Lepisosteus oculatus: one gene and its partner. The protein of the gene in region 1 purifies or fractionates together with the protein of each later gene. This does not show direct contact. Links are inferred from orthologs where the notes say so. Each region holds a gene or a part of one and is shown in the gene's direction. Other genes may lie near its edges.

Evidence for each region.
Region 2: the proteins of rims1a (region 1) and ERC protein 2 purify together in Homo sapiens (affinity purification with western blotting; 3 studies listed by BioGRID and IntAct, with this or other methods). This does not show direct contact. The link is inferred for Lepisosteus oculatus from reciprocal best matches to the Homo sapiens genes RIMS1 and ERC2.

The regions. Positions count from the first base shown.
Region 1 is NC_090712.1:11,315,665-11,324,116, reverse strand, and holds the start of rims1a (regulating synaptic membrane exocytosis protein 1), read left to right. Parts: upstream 1-5,032; 5' UTR 5,033-5,495; coding exon 5,496-5,659; intron 5,660-8,452. UniProt on the Homo sapiens protein: Rab effector involved in exocytosis. May act as scaffold protein that regulates neurotransmitter release at the active zone.
Region 2 is NC_090699.1:64,252,746-64,261,211, reverse strand, and holds the start of ERC protein 2, read left to right. Parts: upstream 1-4,891; 5' UTR 4,892-5,119; intron 5,120-8,466. UniProt on the Homo sapiens protein: Thought to be involved in the organization of the cytomatrix at the nerve terminals active zone (CAZ) which regulates neurotransmitter release. Seems to act together with BSN. May recruit liprin-alpha proteins to the CAZ.

The DNA.
Region 1 (8,452 bases):
AGAAAACCATAGCCAAATGTTTAAAGAATACACTTAGCAGTTTCAGCCACATTCTTAAACTCATAAACACAATGAGAATTGCCATTAAAAACCATACTCAACTCCTCCAACATCTACAGTCTCACCCTCAGAAACGGGGGTATGTAAAGACAACAGGTGCTTAATTATACAATTACAAAAGCAAGAGATTGACATCCTACTAGATGTCAATTGCCTCAGTGATTAATTAAAATAGTCATGAAAAGTGTATAAAGTAAATGAAGAAAATATACACTATTACAGTACTTTCACTAGACATGTTTCTGTAACTAAGTTGACTAATCTAAAAATGCTGAATCTGCCAGGAAGTCAATTGTAATGTTTCTTGTCAAACAGTTCAATACATTCATGTGACCAAGCTACCCTTCCCACTATTTGAGTTGTGCTAGCCACGTCACATGACCTGTTGTCATTTTTAGTGATCCGGCTTCATGTAATCGTTACATTCAAATGCCCTCCAGGACTCCTAGCTTTCTCATTGGTCACCTTCCGGAAACAACCCAACATATTCAGGTCTTCCCTGATCTCTCCCTTGTGTCTTACATTGACAGCACTAATATTTTTACTCTTTGGATCTTTGCACTCTTTTACACTAGGCACAGAATGTTCATTTCAAGTTACCTTGACTTATTATGTTCTTATGTATCATTCTGCAATGTCTTGGCTCTCTTGAGCAAAGCAAAAAGATACACAGCTTTTTTTTTGCCTCCTCACATCTCCTCATTTGAGTGCCTTCTGTAAGCCCAGGTTCAGCAAGCTATTCCTGTTTTTCAGAAATGTGATACTCACACACCCTACCAATTGTGCCTAGGACCCATGAGTGGCACACCTCAGTGCATTATCCTTTTAAAGCTGCTCCAGAGCTCACCAGTCCTACAGGCCTGTTAGCTACACAAATGCATTTCTAACAACATCCATTTTCAGGGTTCTGCCTGTCTCTCAATGAGCCTAGATACAGCCTCCTGATTAGTCAGAGATGTGACTAATTCCACGTGAGAATTATTCTCACGGCTCTTTTCCTTCTCGTGGAATTCCATTCTCTCAGAATGCTCCAGACTCAATCAGCCCAGCTGTGTCTCATTCTGCTGCAATTTTCAATTACCAGGCAGCCATCTTGACCCAATGCAACGCCATTAGTCCTGGGGTTTGAGCCAAAATGGTGTCTTCCTCAAGGAGCAACCTCTTAAAACATCACAGCTTCCTAATTAAACAAATTGCATGAATCCTGTTTTGCTATCTGCTAAAAGCTGCTAAGAGCATTAGAACACTAAACATAAAAAACCTCTTGCAAAAAAAGCCATAAATAACAAAACAAAAATGGATGATGCACAATCACAGACTGCAGGGATGTTACGTGATTAGGAATTGCAATTACAGTTTAAGTAATAGCATAAGAAAGGTTAAATATGAACCACTAAAGAGGCCAGATGGGCAGCTAGCTCATTGTAGCCTTTATTCTGTTCTCATCATATTATTTTAACATAGTACTGTATCATATATTTCCCAGACTCAACAGGTCTTTTTACTTCTCTATTGATTTCCTGTTTCTGTCAGCTCTAAATGGTTGTACAAGAAATGTGTTCATGTAGTACAAAGTCGAGATGTATAACAATTTTAAGTTATGGAAGATAAATTGTGTAAAATTTACAAAGATATTTACATAAAATACTGTGATAAGTGTCAAAAAAATAATGCCTGAATACCATCTCAGTGATGACACATCAGAACAGCTATTACAGTTTTTATTATTTTTCAAGTATCTAACTTTGTTTATAGTTTGTTTTTCAGAAAGTTTCTGTTAATAGAACGAAAGACAAAACAGAGGCTTTTTTATGACACACCTATAACAGTACATGAAATGTTTTGACAACAAAGAAAAACTCATTGCTCCTATAAGGATTTTATTATCATAAACAAAATAAAAGCATTAAGACGATCTACAGTATACTTGTGCTACATTGTAAGTGAATGTCTTGCTGCTAGTATTATCCTAAGATTTACTGTTTGTATAATTGTGATGTTTTTGTTTTAAAATCAATAACTAAAAACTTTTGTTTCTAGCCTGAAGTGAAAACACAATTTGAAGAGAGACTACGGGTATTACTATATGCTCTATTGTTTTTTAGCACAATAGAGAATTATCTTTTATAACAACAGAATAGTCATCTTTATTGTGCACATGTGCAATAGTAAAAACAGGACATACATTAATAACACCAGTTCTTAATGTAATTTTAAAAGACAAAATCTTTTAATCTAGTCAGAGTAAAAATATTTACTAGTGTTAGAATTTAAATACATTTTTACCCATGTTATCTACCTTGGAGTTACAAGGAAATTGTGTTTTTTGCATAATGTATAGCAGGCCAATACAACCTTAGTGGCTTTTTTTGCTTTAAAATTGTGTATGTTTGCTTACAAGCAAAGGTTACTACAATAGTTTATTTTGTGCATCTGATTCTTGGATCTAGATTTTTTAAAAACTTTATGCAATTCAGCCATTGTTTCAAATTTTCAATGCTTTGTTATGGTTTTGGGAAGATAGTGTTCAGGAAGTAGAGTTGAATGCAACAGATTATTGGTGTAAGCAAGAGGCTCACAGAGATAAGATGAATCTTCTCTTCCAAAGAACCACAGATCAGCTACAGTATAAGTTCTGTCCATGGTCCTGAATCAATGGTTATTTTATGAAAATTGTAGCAGTTGAAATTGCAACCATGTATAACATCACTGGTAAATGAATAATGTTGTTTGTAATGAGAGCCTGTCATGTGTAGTGCATATTTTAGGACCCTTTGCAGAGTCAGAGAGAGAAAACTGAATTCCTATGCGAATGTAATCCAAATCGTGAGGCTAGAGCAAGGTCGGGGATCAGAAGCAGTAGATCAGAAATCCAAGGGGTCAGAAGAACGAATGAGAAGTCTGAGTAAGTCGCTAACTGGATGTGTAGCTCTGGCTGAGGAAACCTCAATAGTGAGTGAGGACAAGTTGCAGAGTGGGAGTTTAAATAGACAAGGTGAGTGAAGCTCATTAGTGAGTGATCAGGTGCTTGTGGGAATGCAATGGTATCTGCGTGCCTGTGTGCGGTTTGTTTATGGAGCTGTTAAAAAATAGCTTACCCATATAAATTGAAATTTTGGGGATTTCCAATTCCTTTCCAGACTTCCAGCTGTTAAACAGTCTGAGCATCACATGCCTCCACTTTTATTGGAAAATAGCCCCACAAATCACATTCAAATAAAAAAAAAACATTGATGAAAAGCCTACTATCATTTCCAAGTCCATCAGAACCAAATGAGAACAGAATACCAGAATAATCATCCACCCATTTTCTTAATCCAATACAAGGTTGTGTTAAAACAGTTTAACAACAGCTAACAATGAGCACAACTAGGAAACCTGGACAGGATGTAATTACTATAATAATAATAATCTTTAAAAGAAAGCAGCAAAGAGTAATGACTGGGAATATAGCCATTTTACACTATGATGACCTCTACAGCTCTAAGATTCTACAATACAGTTTTGCATTTGACAATGTGGAGAGGTCAGAGGTTATGAAGATTTTTTTGATAGAGCATGTGACTATAACACTAGTTCAAGAGCCATGGCCAAAGAAATTTAAATCAACTGAATTAATCTGTGGATGTTATATTAGACATAGGTCTCTTTTACTTAAAGATCTGTGGATCTCCTACATTCTTTATCACATTATATTCTATCACATGTTCTAATGAATGCAAACATCTAGAAATTGCTGTTGGATTACGATGGCTGTCTTTTTTATGTAGCTACTTCTCCTCAATAACTTTGATAGCTTAACAATGCAGACACAGCTGAGTATTTTTTTAATCAAATCAAGTGATCAATCAAGTTTTCTTGGAAAAAACATAAATCAAACTTATAAAGGAAGTCTGTAGTTCAAGTTTCAAATCTCTGTCAATTGTGTTTTTGGAGAACATTTTTAAGTCAAAGATTCCCGGAAAAACCAACTACAGTATGACTGCCATCGTGTGACTTTTGTCCTTTATTTTGGTGTTGTATCAGCTTTTCATAGCTTTCTAGAACCATTTGACTTTTCCTAAATCTTTGTCTAATAGTATGGGTGGTCAAAAGCCTCATGATTATGATAAATATTAATAAGCATATAATAAGTACACGCGCATAAAAGTAATCTCAATCAGAATTGTAAATCATCCTAATAAAACCATACATATTTACTTTGAATTGATTCAACAGATCCTGCAAATTGTCTTCAGTTTAGATCTGATGATAGACACTGAAATTTTGTTACACGGTAATAATGAAGGAAAATTCAAATGGTGTTTGGGGATTCTTCCAAGCGATCTCTCTCTCTTATCGATTAACTTTCTTAGTTTACTTTCTTTCTTTGAACGTTCACTCTAGTTTCAGGAGATTTGCTGATGTTTAATCGATTATAAATCTCCCTATGCTCAGATGTTTACGTTGATCAAATTCAGTATCTTTACCCTCTTTTTGCTGGAAGCTACGTAGAACATATGAGCGCAGAGCCACATTTTCAAAGTCACACACCCCTCTTTACATACAAGAATGAAAAAAAAATATAACTCATTGTGTTATTACCAGTAAAATACAGATGACAGATGTGCATTAAAGGGAGTGAAACGTGCACATCATTCTTTCAAATTAAGGGCGTGATGCATTGTACTTACCTAAAAAAATATAAGGTATAGTTTTACAATATATTGAACATTTTACAGCAGTGGTGGTTATCAACTACTACTGTAGATACTGCGCCCGTCTTTCAGACAGTGAATTCCCGGTACCAGGACTGCCTCCGGCTCGGATCCTGAATGAACAAGACAGTAGAATAGAAACACGGACGCGCACGGGAAAAGGCTTTGTACTTCCTGCTGAGATTTATTCGTGCACGAGCCCAGAGGGGGTAGGGGGAACCGGGGTGGCAGAGGTGGGAGGTGGGCGCGCCGCCAGCTTGTTCACACGGGGAGAGGTGCGCGTACAAGCAGTCCCATTCTCAAATGTGAGTGCGCGTATTCGTGCATGAGAGGGGTGCGCGCTTGAGGGGCTGCGGTCCCATTGACTGTTCCATCTCCCTGACAGCAGCATCAGCAACAGTAGCAAAGAGCAGAGCAACGTACGGACTCCGCCTAGCCAACATCAAACACCAAACCCGAGCCTAGTGGTAGGGAAATTTCACAGCAACCAAACCCATGCGCCGCTGATTTACTGTGTGTTATCTCCCGATTAAAGATGGGCTACCAGTAATTGGAGGTGGATTTTGGTGGGGTGGGGGAAGTCGAACTGAAAAAAAAAAGCACAATCGTGGGTGCCCGCAACCATGAAAGGCTTGCACTGTTTGCAAGAGCCGCTGCTCTGTCCGTGGACTATATTGTGAGAAGTGGGTTTGTACTCGGGTTTTATTAAGAAAACGGCACGATAAGGAGGGCTATAACATGTCTGCTTCTCTGGGGTCCCACGGCCCTCGCCCACCCACCGCGCCTCCTTCGATGCAAGATCTGCCGGACCTGAGCCATCTGACGGAGGAGGAAAGAAAAATTATAATGGCTGTGATGGTTAGACAGAAGGAAGAAGAGGAAAAAGAAGAAGCCATGTTAAAGTAAGGGAAGATCAGTTCCTTTTAATTAGCGTTGCACTCCAATTCGTGTAAGGTGGCTATGGTCTGTAGAGATAGTGAGATACTGGATTCCAGTCCGCCATCATTTTGGTTATTAAATATTTCCTCAGTCAATTGATTATTACCATTTGTAGTACAATGTTTCAAATTGATCAAATAGTACTAACGTGAAATCTTTTATTATGTGTGTTTGTGTATACAAGGGAAGCAGCATGCCTTTAACAGAGACTGCAATTGTTCAGACTCATTTACTTCTTAGATTGGTAGCAATTTACAAGAAAGGTTAGTTCGTATTAGGTACATGTCAGATAGCTGGGTGCTGTATAGATTCTCCCGACGACATACACGTTGATACACAGGCAGCCTGCTGACAGACCAGTATAATGTAGAAAATGGTTAAGCATCTTAATTAAGTAATCGGTGGACTGTGAGAATAAGATTTGGTCTGAAGAAGAAAAAAAACGCGAGTCGAACATGTCCACAGCTGTCTTCGATCTCGGGGAGGCTAGAGGGGGGCGTGATCAAACAAGAACAAATATAAAACAGATCAGAGTCATAGTCTGTTTCCACCCAACAACTTATCAAAGTCTTTTTTCCCCCTCCTTATACCCCTGTTCTCTCTTACATATGGGGCGCTAACCGGTTTTCTATTGCACACCTCAACGCATTTAGTTAGCAAAGCAGCAGGTCAGAAATGTGAATAGCATAGCATATACAAATAATTAATTACTAATGGTGTTATACAACAAGAGCATGGCCTTTGACATCAGTGACATAAAGGAGAGGTGGCAAAATTCTTTGCGAAACCTCGTTACTTCGCATTGCCCTTTAACAATTGATAAACTGTATTTATATAGTCCAAATTCCCTCGAAGGGGATTCCATATTCGTTTTTCAGCATGCGGGGTGTGGTTAACAATTTTAGAGCTTTGTGTAGGCCAGCACTTTTTCAATACATTTCTTGGACCCGTAAATGAGATAGGTAGCTATAAAGATGAGAAAAATGCAATTTTATCCAGATTTCTAACAATCCTGTTAGTATGTGTGATCCAGTTTCATACAGACTTGCCGATCGTCCATTGTTTCCTGTTTTTTAGGATGCGATCACGATACGCCGCGTTTCATTTGGTGTGAGCTGCCTCCAGTGTTTTTATCATAAAAATTATTTTGCAAGTCATTATGATTAACTGTAACAACCGTATCGTATATTTTTTTTTGTGTTTTGTGTACCTCCAGCACAAAATTGATTTAAACGAGCGCTGTGTAAATTCCATTATTTTTTACGAAAAGGAACAAAATGGGTTCAGACTGTAATCTGTAATGTACAGCAGCCCATTCTATGGTTAAAGAAGTACAATTGCTAGAGAAAGATTTAACAATGCTGTTTGCTTAATTTTAATACCCTTTTAAGATTTTCTCCCCTATTCAATTATTGGTTTAGCCGTAAAATAACGGATGAACAGGTGGTTTAAATATACACTACAGTGTCTTTAAATGTTTAAAACTTGTCTTTAATGTGACGCGTATATGGCAGTTTACTGTGTTTTGGAACTAAAGCAAAAAAATAATAATAAACAGGTTTGGTTGTAATACATAACATCATTTACACGTTTATACAAATGTCTAAGCGTTTCCCACTGAATAATAATTTAAAGTGTTTTTTTTTTCAGTATTGCTCACAATTTTGGTTTTTCTTACTGACTCTTCAGTATGACCCTAATAAATAAACCGGGTAATGTCAGCGTTGTAGAAGCAAAGAACTTCATATACTGAGAAGAATTGTCATATTTCATAGGAAATAAGAGCTCAGTCAATCTGTTGTTTTTATAAAGTAGTTGTTTCTTTGCATTAGTTTAGTTTGCAATAGTATGATCAATTGTCACAGTTGTAGTTAATTTAGCGAGGTAATGAAATTAATAAATATGTCTGCCTATGTTAGACCTGTCTCTTGTGTATTGTGGAAAAAAATACATTTTTGATTAACATTATCTTAAAATTTAAAATTTAATTGAATTTTTACCCTTCCATAAAGGGAAAACCCTTCTCTTTGTGTGTACTGTATCTTTTAAATACTCACCTTTGAGACTACATGTTCTTAAACTTGAATTCTTATCATGCTTGTAAGAGAGTTAAGTATTCGTGTCCTAGAAAATAATACCCAATATTTGTTTTTCTTTTGCTGGTATGAAGAAAAAGATAATTTTGTTCTCCTGAGCTGAAATTTCCTGTTTTTTTCTTCTGATTAGAAAATCTTGAGAATTTCTTCTTGATTTTCTTTTACTTTCATTGTGTTTCTTTTTAATTCAGGTGTCCCTGCTGTTCACTTGTATTCTAATATGACACAGCTGTTATTTGAAAAATATTTACAGGTTGTTGGCTGTTAAAAGTATTTTCATTTCACATTTAGTTATTTTTTTGTATCCAAAACAGACGGTGAAACTTGGAAACTGGTAAATTTCTGATGTCATTATAGTCATAGTATAATTTGCTGTTTTTTATGAGAAATGTAGCCTTTTCTAAATAAATGATGGAACATCTAAGGAAATCAATATTTGGATTCTAATGTACATTAATTCTGTCTATTCCTAATGTTGTAACGATCAACACTGTGTGATTTATTACAAATAATCTGCAAACAACATTCCGGATTAAGTGGTTTGGTAAATCCCCTGTACCTCCTGCAACAGGTGGTTGTACCACCCATTGTTTTGTGTTTCCTCACATTTTCCAGTTGGTACATTTATACAGTAGATAAGGTTAAACTATGTCAGCAACA
Region 2 (8,466 bases), on another chromosome or scaffold:
TTGTGTTGAAGCTTGAAACCCACTGATTGACCTACAGTGGTCTCAACTGTCCAAACCCATCTCTTCGAAGATCTGCTCCCGGCAACTGTTCTGCACTGAAGACCGCCTCAGCCTCTGCAGACACAGACAAGTGCAGCGCTGGAATCTGCACATTTTGAGGTTTGTATCGTGGGTGGTGCAGCGCACAATTTTAATTCCTTCTCTTTGGAATCAGTATACTGTATTTTCAGTTTCACTTCATAAAAATATTGGGCTTGCCATTCAACTAAAAATGTTATTTTTATTTCTATAGGTGCTCCAGACTACATTAACAAGCTACAGTTTGCTTTTCATTGTCCTCTGTTGCACTAGGGTTTGCATTTAATATCTTTGATCACAGTTTTACTTATTGTTCTTGTTCTGCTGTGCTTATATAGTAATTTAATTTGCCCTCAATGTTGTAAGGTGCTGGAATACCTTGTAGAGGGAACAGGAGTAATGCAGTGTACAGTACCCACACTGCACTACAGAACATGCAGGGCGCTTTATGCACATACAAGATTTTGTGTTTGCATATGTACCATAATTTGGGGGCTCAGAGAACACACTACACAGCTCCCTGGACAGCAACGAACTCCACTGGGCCAAAAAACTGGGTCCCCACATACGGCACTGTTCTACACAGCCCAGGCTTCAGTGCACTGACCCTAATACACAGAAATAAACTAATAACATGGTGACTCTGAGCAGAATGTAAACTACAAGAGAACAGAACGTGCAAGAAAAGCAAAGATTCTTAATGGGCCTTCATGTTCTACATAAGACAATGTGCAGCACACAGACTATGGTCAGCATTCAAGTATCGCTAGGAGCTTTAACAAATTTTGAAGCCTTTCAAAATGCTACATCATCACTATATTTTCTCCTCTTCATTCCAAACTCTATTGCTCAGATACTGTATATAAGGTTCAAATTTAAGACAACTGTGGACAGCGCTTTAGCAAAGATCATTCACAAATGTCTTCATTGTGACGATAGCCTACCCACACCCTAAACCTGTAGATGTAATTATTGTTTATAACAGTCTAAATAAATGATGAATACTTATAAAAAACGTGAACCTAAACAAGGTTTGGTCGAATTATATAGTGTAAACATCTGGATATTTCTTAACTTGATAAGAAGTTTTTATATACTATTAGATACAGTATAACGTAGTATCTCTTTCAATTCCTTTATTATAATGGCCCTAATGAGTCGCATTTAGTTGGTGGTGTTCTTTATGAAGATGTATAAACCTGAGGCCAGATTGCTAATCTGTACAGTGGTATGGCTAATGTTTTTACATCTTTTTATTTACTGATTTATAAAAGAGCATAGCGGCTACCACAATTAATTAAACTCTATGGTGCTCACATTTTGTGTTCATTTAGTAAGTACTAAGATGTACACTCATTTTGCTGACAAAGCAACTACCAGCAGTTCTCATTAGCCTTATTTGTCATTAAACATGCTTTCTATATTAATTGGCAACTTGGCTGTCTCTGAAACCCCAAGTAAAAGTTGTGGTAAATATGTGCATTTAAAGCTGTGTTGTGTTCACTCCTTAGTTTAGCTGAATTTTGCAGAAAATGACCAGATGCGGCACAGTACAGTACATATTGTTTGGATGGCAAGGACTGCAGTTTAAATTGTCTGTAAGCTTGCATCCGATAGAATCCAATATGAATATAAACAGACTATTGGGTACAGTTTATTTCAGATGCATGAAGTTTATACGAAGAAGATGGGCACTTGATGTTATTCATTAGAAAAATCTAAACTTTTTCAAATGTAATTATTTCCAGCAACACAACATCATAAAATGAGTATTGTATACAGATTCTCTAAAGCAAAAATACCATCAGCTCAGATTTGTTTGTCAAACGCAGTCATGGATTTACTAACAATGCCTAATTAGTCCAACTAATTAAAATCTAATTATACAGATACTAGAATAATTATTTACTGAGGTCATGAATGAAACATACAGTACTTGTGCAAAGTATTTCATATTACTAATCATGAAACTATTGTCATTTATTAATTACAAAGAACCATTGTCCTGACATGTGTGAACAGCATTTTGTGAGTATGATACTGTTCAAACTATTTTTTAAACCAATACAGATTTGATTTCAATAAGCAATGAGCTTAAGAAGAAGCATTTAATAGACACATGCCTTTTCTCTGTTTAATTGAATACAATCTGTCAGGGCTAGCGTTATCTTAGAGGAAACAGTGAAGGAAGAAAGAAGGATCTTAGAAATGTGTACCTTTTCACCACTAATCTATTTTTGTTCACTTTTTGTTTTCTGATACAAATTGTCTAATTAATAGGAACATCTCTCACATTTTCTTGGCAACTCTATAAACCTTAAGAAGAGGTCATTTCCCCTCATGGAGGACCAGATGAAAATGATTGAAGATCTTGTAGTCTTTGCTCTTATGGAGGTGCGCTTACTGAACTCCAAGCAGAATCTCTCTGAGGCGTGCTTTACGCTTCATAAACACTAATGAATTAATGCAGAGATTAAATTTTATTGTGCTGAAAAAATACACAAATGCTTCTTTAAAATCATTAAATAAAAGACTGTACCCTTTAGGTCAAGCTCAGATGGGCAGGGTAGTTGGCACTCCTGACTTGAGCAAGTCAGAGCTCTCACATCCTTGAGCTCCAAGTATACAGGACTGTACTTCATTCATTTTGCTTCAGTTACAACCCCAGCTGGCAAAAATGTACAGGGTAAGTCACTTTCGATTAAAAAAAAATAGCCAAATTAATTGCTAATCGTAATTAAATATTTTTTCTGAATTGGGAGTACCCTGCCCCCCCACACACACTCTCTCACTCAACTGGAAACGTGTAAATTGAACACTACTCCATATAAATTAAAGAATAGATGCCTGAGGCTGAAAGGGAGTTCTGTGGCTGGTTTGTGTTTGTGGCAGATGCCCTCTATAAACCTGTAGCAGATGATGAATCAGTTATAGTGGGCTCATGAGAAAATGAAGATCCATCCCAAGCTCACTATACTGTAGCTGTAAATCACAAGTCACTTCCCTGATTATTGTTAATGAAATGCAGGTTCCTGTCAATTCTGACTCATCTTAGATTATGCTTACCGTAAATCACATTAACGAAACCACATTACATCATTTCGAATGACAAAATCCAAAGAATGGCCCTTCACTTGACGAGACTCTATTTTTTAGCTCTTAATGTACTGTAGTTCCTGGGAAGCTCTGTCAGTGCTTGAAATTCTGGCGTCTGTGACATCTTCCTTCCCCATAGATCCAGGAGTGAGCTATTCTAAAGACTTGGCTGTACCCATTGCTTAATTTAATTATTGTATGTGGCTCATCAGCAAAGAATGAGAAAACACAGAATTCTCACAAACATGTCCTGGAATACAATTAATCTTTTCTTGCTTCTTTCACGTAAGAGGCCTCTGTCTGTTACTTGTTACACTTCCCAATGGCTTCTCCTGCCTCAATTTATTTACTGTGGAAAAAAAAAACCCCATGTACAGTACTTCCAGTAGCAAAACCTACATACAGTGAGCAATCAGGCTTTTCATCTTCAGGCAATCAGTCACACTTGAAATAGCTGCTGTGAGCCTCAGGGAAATATTTTAGGAAAATGGTCCTTAAGCACAGCCAATATGTTTGCAACACTTATCAGCAACGTAGTGAACCATTAGACTAGAGTGATGTATTTTTGTTTATATTGCTCTCACCAGCGACAGTACACACCCAGGGTACTGAAGGGTGGCGTCTGGGCTGTCCCTGTTGAATATATATTTTTAAAGATACAGTGTGATATTTAAGGGATTTTTTTTAATCTGCTTTTTAAATCTTTATTTTCCCAACAGTCTACATGTACTCCGTAAAACAAAAAAACGCAGCTCGCGTGAAAAGTCCAGCCTTTCGTGTCAGCTTTCATACAGCACAGTACGTGCGTGCGAATTGTAACTCTGCCATCGGGGTGATTTGCATCTTTGAAAGTATTTCCTGGTCCATGGGGAAAAGTGACCATTTTTCATTTGAAGAAAGTTATTATTTATGCAAAAGGTACTTGAAAATAAGTCCACCGCAATGAGCCACATCCCTCTCTCGCTCGTCGTGATCTTACTGCGGTTTTTACTGCAACGTACTTTGATGTACTGTACTACGGGGAACTGTAGTAAAGTGTATGTGGTATTTAAAAAGCACCAAAGCTCCCTGAAAGACAAGCAGCAACGACAGGGATATGCTACAGCCTTACACACAGGTATCAGGTCCACAGTGTGTTTGACAGGTGAGAAGACCCCGTCAGGAAACTGCGGCTGTATAGCCAGCAGCTGAAATTGAGCGCAGCGCTAAACGCCTCTTGCAGATGAGCAGACCTCCGGACTAGCGAAGAAAGGTATCGCTCACGTAAAGCGCCGGCTGTGACTCGTTCTCGCAGGACGGGAAATCTCTGAAGGAGAAACGGGCTGGCTGGCCAGGTGGCTGGCGAGGGCTGGGCAGCGGGCGAGCCGAGGCTCTCCCCTCTTGCTCCCTGTCATTGCTTGAGAAAATGTGGAGATCGGCCACTTTCTTCTCCTCCTCCTGATCCCCTCGTTGACCGGCAACATTTTTTTGTTTGCTGTTGTTGTTGAGACCCACACGTGCGTGTTTGGTCATTTCGCGGTGTTACGCCGTCCGGTGCGAAACAGCTGTTTTTTTTTTTGTCTCTGTGTGTGTGTGTGTCTGTCTCTTGTGTCTGTGCGGTCCCTCTGTTGCGCCCAGCGGCAATTGTATCTACTGTATCTGATACGGCATCTGATACAATCGGGATACAGGCGGGGGGCGGGAGCCGGAGGGGTGGGCGGACGGGCTGCCTTCGCGCACTGCAAGGGCTTGGCTCGCTCGGCGCGGTGCGCACAGCACACAGCACGGTACGTACCTGCCTTTATTTCAGCTGCCCCTTTAAAACCGTCTTGTCGCTGCTTCCCCAGTGTGGAGCACAGGAGGGTGTCCGCGGCCCAATGAAAGCGGAGGTCGAGAATGCTGGGAATGTTGAGTCAGGCTGGCAGCCAGTGAAGCCGTGATGGAGAAGAACTGACATTATAAAAGGGTATGAAACATTGCATGCATTTTTTTTTTTTTAGAAAAAATACAATTGCATTAAACGGTCTTGCTAATGCAGCTGCAGTTTATTCGCCGGCCAAGGGAGAGAGATGTCCTTCGCTTGGAAAGACTGCTTTATGCACGGCGGCATGGTGGCTAAATCTGATTTTTTTTTCCCTCTCTCATTGATAATTAGTTTTCTTTCGCATTCTAGGGAATTATTATGTCCTGGCAGAGCACAGAGGGTGGATATTTCAGCAGTGCACACCGGACTAGCTCTTCTGGGGTTACAAAAAAAAAATAGGAGCAAGCCAAGCTGAAAGTAAAAAAAAAATCACACCGGACTGTAGTGCTCTGTGCAGTCGTTATAAATTAGCCGCTTTTATTCTGATTGTAATGCAGCAAAGTAATGTACTGTCCGACTGCACAACTTTGAAATGTTGTTATTTAATAAAGTGTTTACAGGTAGTACTTTTTATTTCACCAGGACGGGCTATATTAGAAACTGCTTGTCGGGGTTGCAGGTTTTAATGTACAACTGTACACCTGGGCTATGAGCGCTTTTAGAGCAGGATAATAAATATGATCGCTTATTCCTGATCGTGTCTGCGATTGTAGCCAATTTTTTCTGTACACGATGCCATGTACTATGCTTTTCTGGAAGACTGCATTTTATGCCAGTCATTTATTAATTACCGTAGCGCAGAGGTAACCATTTCACCCGGCTTTTAACGTTACATGTGCACTTATTACTTCAAGGTTGGTATTAATCATCTTAAGTGATCAGTCTGATTAACAACTACCGTAGGTATATTTTAACGCGTTATTGATTTTTTTTTTAGGCGTTTGCTATCTACTGTATATAAGATAAAGGGGAGAATCTTGTTCTCTCTCAGACTAACTCGATTCTCAAGAATTGACATTTCTGGGTGAATGGCAGGAATATTGGCCAGTCGGGAAACAACCATTCTCCTTATGTGCTCGTAACAGCCAATCGTCCTAGCTAGGAGGAGGGCTTTTCAACATGCGGTTAGGTCTGCTCGCTACTACGAACCTCATTAAATCGGTGCAGGATGCCATTAACCCTTTAAAGGCAAGTGCAATAAATACACTTGTGTCCATAAAGATAATGTCAATTTAAAAAAATACAGAGACAGGGCAGTGGGAAGCTAGCGGATGTACCGGGTCCAAATATTCTTTTTGGGACCATTCCAAATTTTCCTGTAAGATGTCTACGATCGCAAGCAGTAAATCAACGTACAGCGAATGCTTTTTTTTTTTAAAAAAAGGTACATTCTGTAGTTAACAAAAAGACTAGACGGTAGTTGGATTATCGATCTCATTCATCGATCTTTTTTAGGGGCATTTGTCTTGGCCGAATAATATCGTCACATATGACATATAATTCATAACCATTCGGTCATTTATTCAGCTGTACTTTCTTTAAATCGAGGGTGAGCACCTTTTGTCGTGGTAGGTGGAATTTCGTTTATGGCTGTGCTATTCACTGTGTCTGGTTACATCATTGAGTGAGTACATTTCCTCCGCCGGCTTTGCTTTTCCTAGCATGCTCTCCACAGCTGGGAAACCTTGAAGTAAATTATTGTTCAAGATGAACAGACCCCGTTCACTCATCAGCTCATCATCAGTGCCGTAGTCCTAGGCCTTTGTAGAACAAAGATGTCATTTAGAAATGTTGTCCAGTTACAGTTATGCCACCTTTTTCTAAGGGAAATTATATTTAATTGCAGATTACCTTTGGGGAAATTCAGATCTAATGGTAGAGCATACACTGGTAAGGAAGAGGTGACAGCTTAAGTTATTGTATCATTTCTATCATGGGGTTGGCATACAGGATGTGTGGAAAACTGAATTGTTGGCTGCTTAAAATCTGTGTGGAACAGTGTTTATGGTTCTGGACTTATAACTGGAAGGTTGTGGGTTCAAATCCCTGGTTAGATGCTGCACTTGTACCCTTGAGCAAGGCAATGAACATTCTTTCCAGTTAAAATACAATTATGTAAAATGGGGGCATGTGTTAGTTGTCTTTTATAAAAGAACCAGACAGATAAATACGTTGTGCGCACAGTATATACTGTATTAAACATCTGGTTCGTTTGTTCTGGCGGAAAATTGTGTCAGAAATGTCGAAATCGGAATGGTAACTGAGCTGAAGGGTGTAGTTCAGTGAGCACAGCCTTCCTGCTCCAGTGCCCCGAAGTACGCCTCCGAAGCACCCCTCCAGTCTTCCGTCCCCGCGTTTCCAAGATTCCCTTTCACAGTCACAGCTGCATCTCCGCTTCGTGTGCAGTGAAGGGCCCTGGAAACGAGCCCTCGTACTTAGAGGACAATCAGGCAGATTTCTTGAGCACTTTGTGACGGAATGCAATTTTCACCATTTTTGCGAGAGAAAAATCCAAACCGTTTGTTTCTCTGAATTGGTTGCAAGAGGTTTTTCTGACTCACTGGGTCCTGATGGTGACTATATGGGCTTTTGGCTTCTGATTTGTTTTTTGTTTTTTTGCTTCTATATACACATACGCTGTACTGTTATCTTTTCTCCATCAAGAAAAGAAAACATTTGACAGAATTCTAAAAATCTCTTGTGGTCTTGTTTCTCATTGGTGGTGAACCTGTTTAAAAAACAAAAAACCCAAACAGAACAAAACAGTACAAGCCCCCTGTCCTCGGTGGTTCCTAGTTTCTGCCTATGGACCTTGATGGTAATGTACTGTAAGTGATGGAAGAGCTGGGCAGCAGAGATTTGAGCACATCAGCAGCAGCTCTTTAGATCTCCACAGTCTCCGTCTGGAACCCTGGATCTGACCAGTAGACAGTTCCTTAGACAGTAAATAATGTCAATCTAGGGCAGTGGTGCCAGGAGAGGGGTTGAAAGACGCCTAACACAGCACCAGCATCTTTCAGGCTCCGTTTTTTTGTAAGAGGCGGAGATTGAAGTCATTATTTAGTAAGGACGCCGGTGGGGAGCACTGTATATATCTTTCTTTAGAGCAGGAGATATAAAAGAGGCAACTTGTTTTTCTAAAAGTTAACCACGCTGGGGCATGCCTAAAATGTGTATATAAAAAGTCCTTAGCCTCCCACACACTGAGCACACTTTAAGGACTGGGTACCAGTTATAGGATCTAAGAGTGGTCAGGTCTGCTCTCTGAAGGACAGACAGGCTAAGTCAGTCATTCATGGACTAGGAATTTTGGAAGCCGTATTTATATCATTCCAAATATTCTCCTACAAAATTTCGTCAACTACCTTATATACTCTAAAATGTACGTATCCCTACTGGCAACCAGTAACAGCTGATAAAGGTTTTTTTTAATGAAACCTCCAACAGAA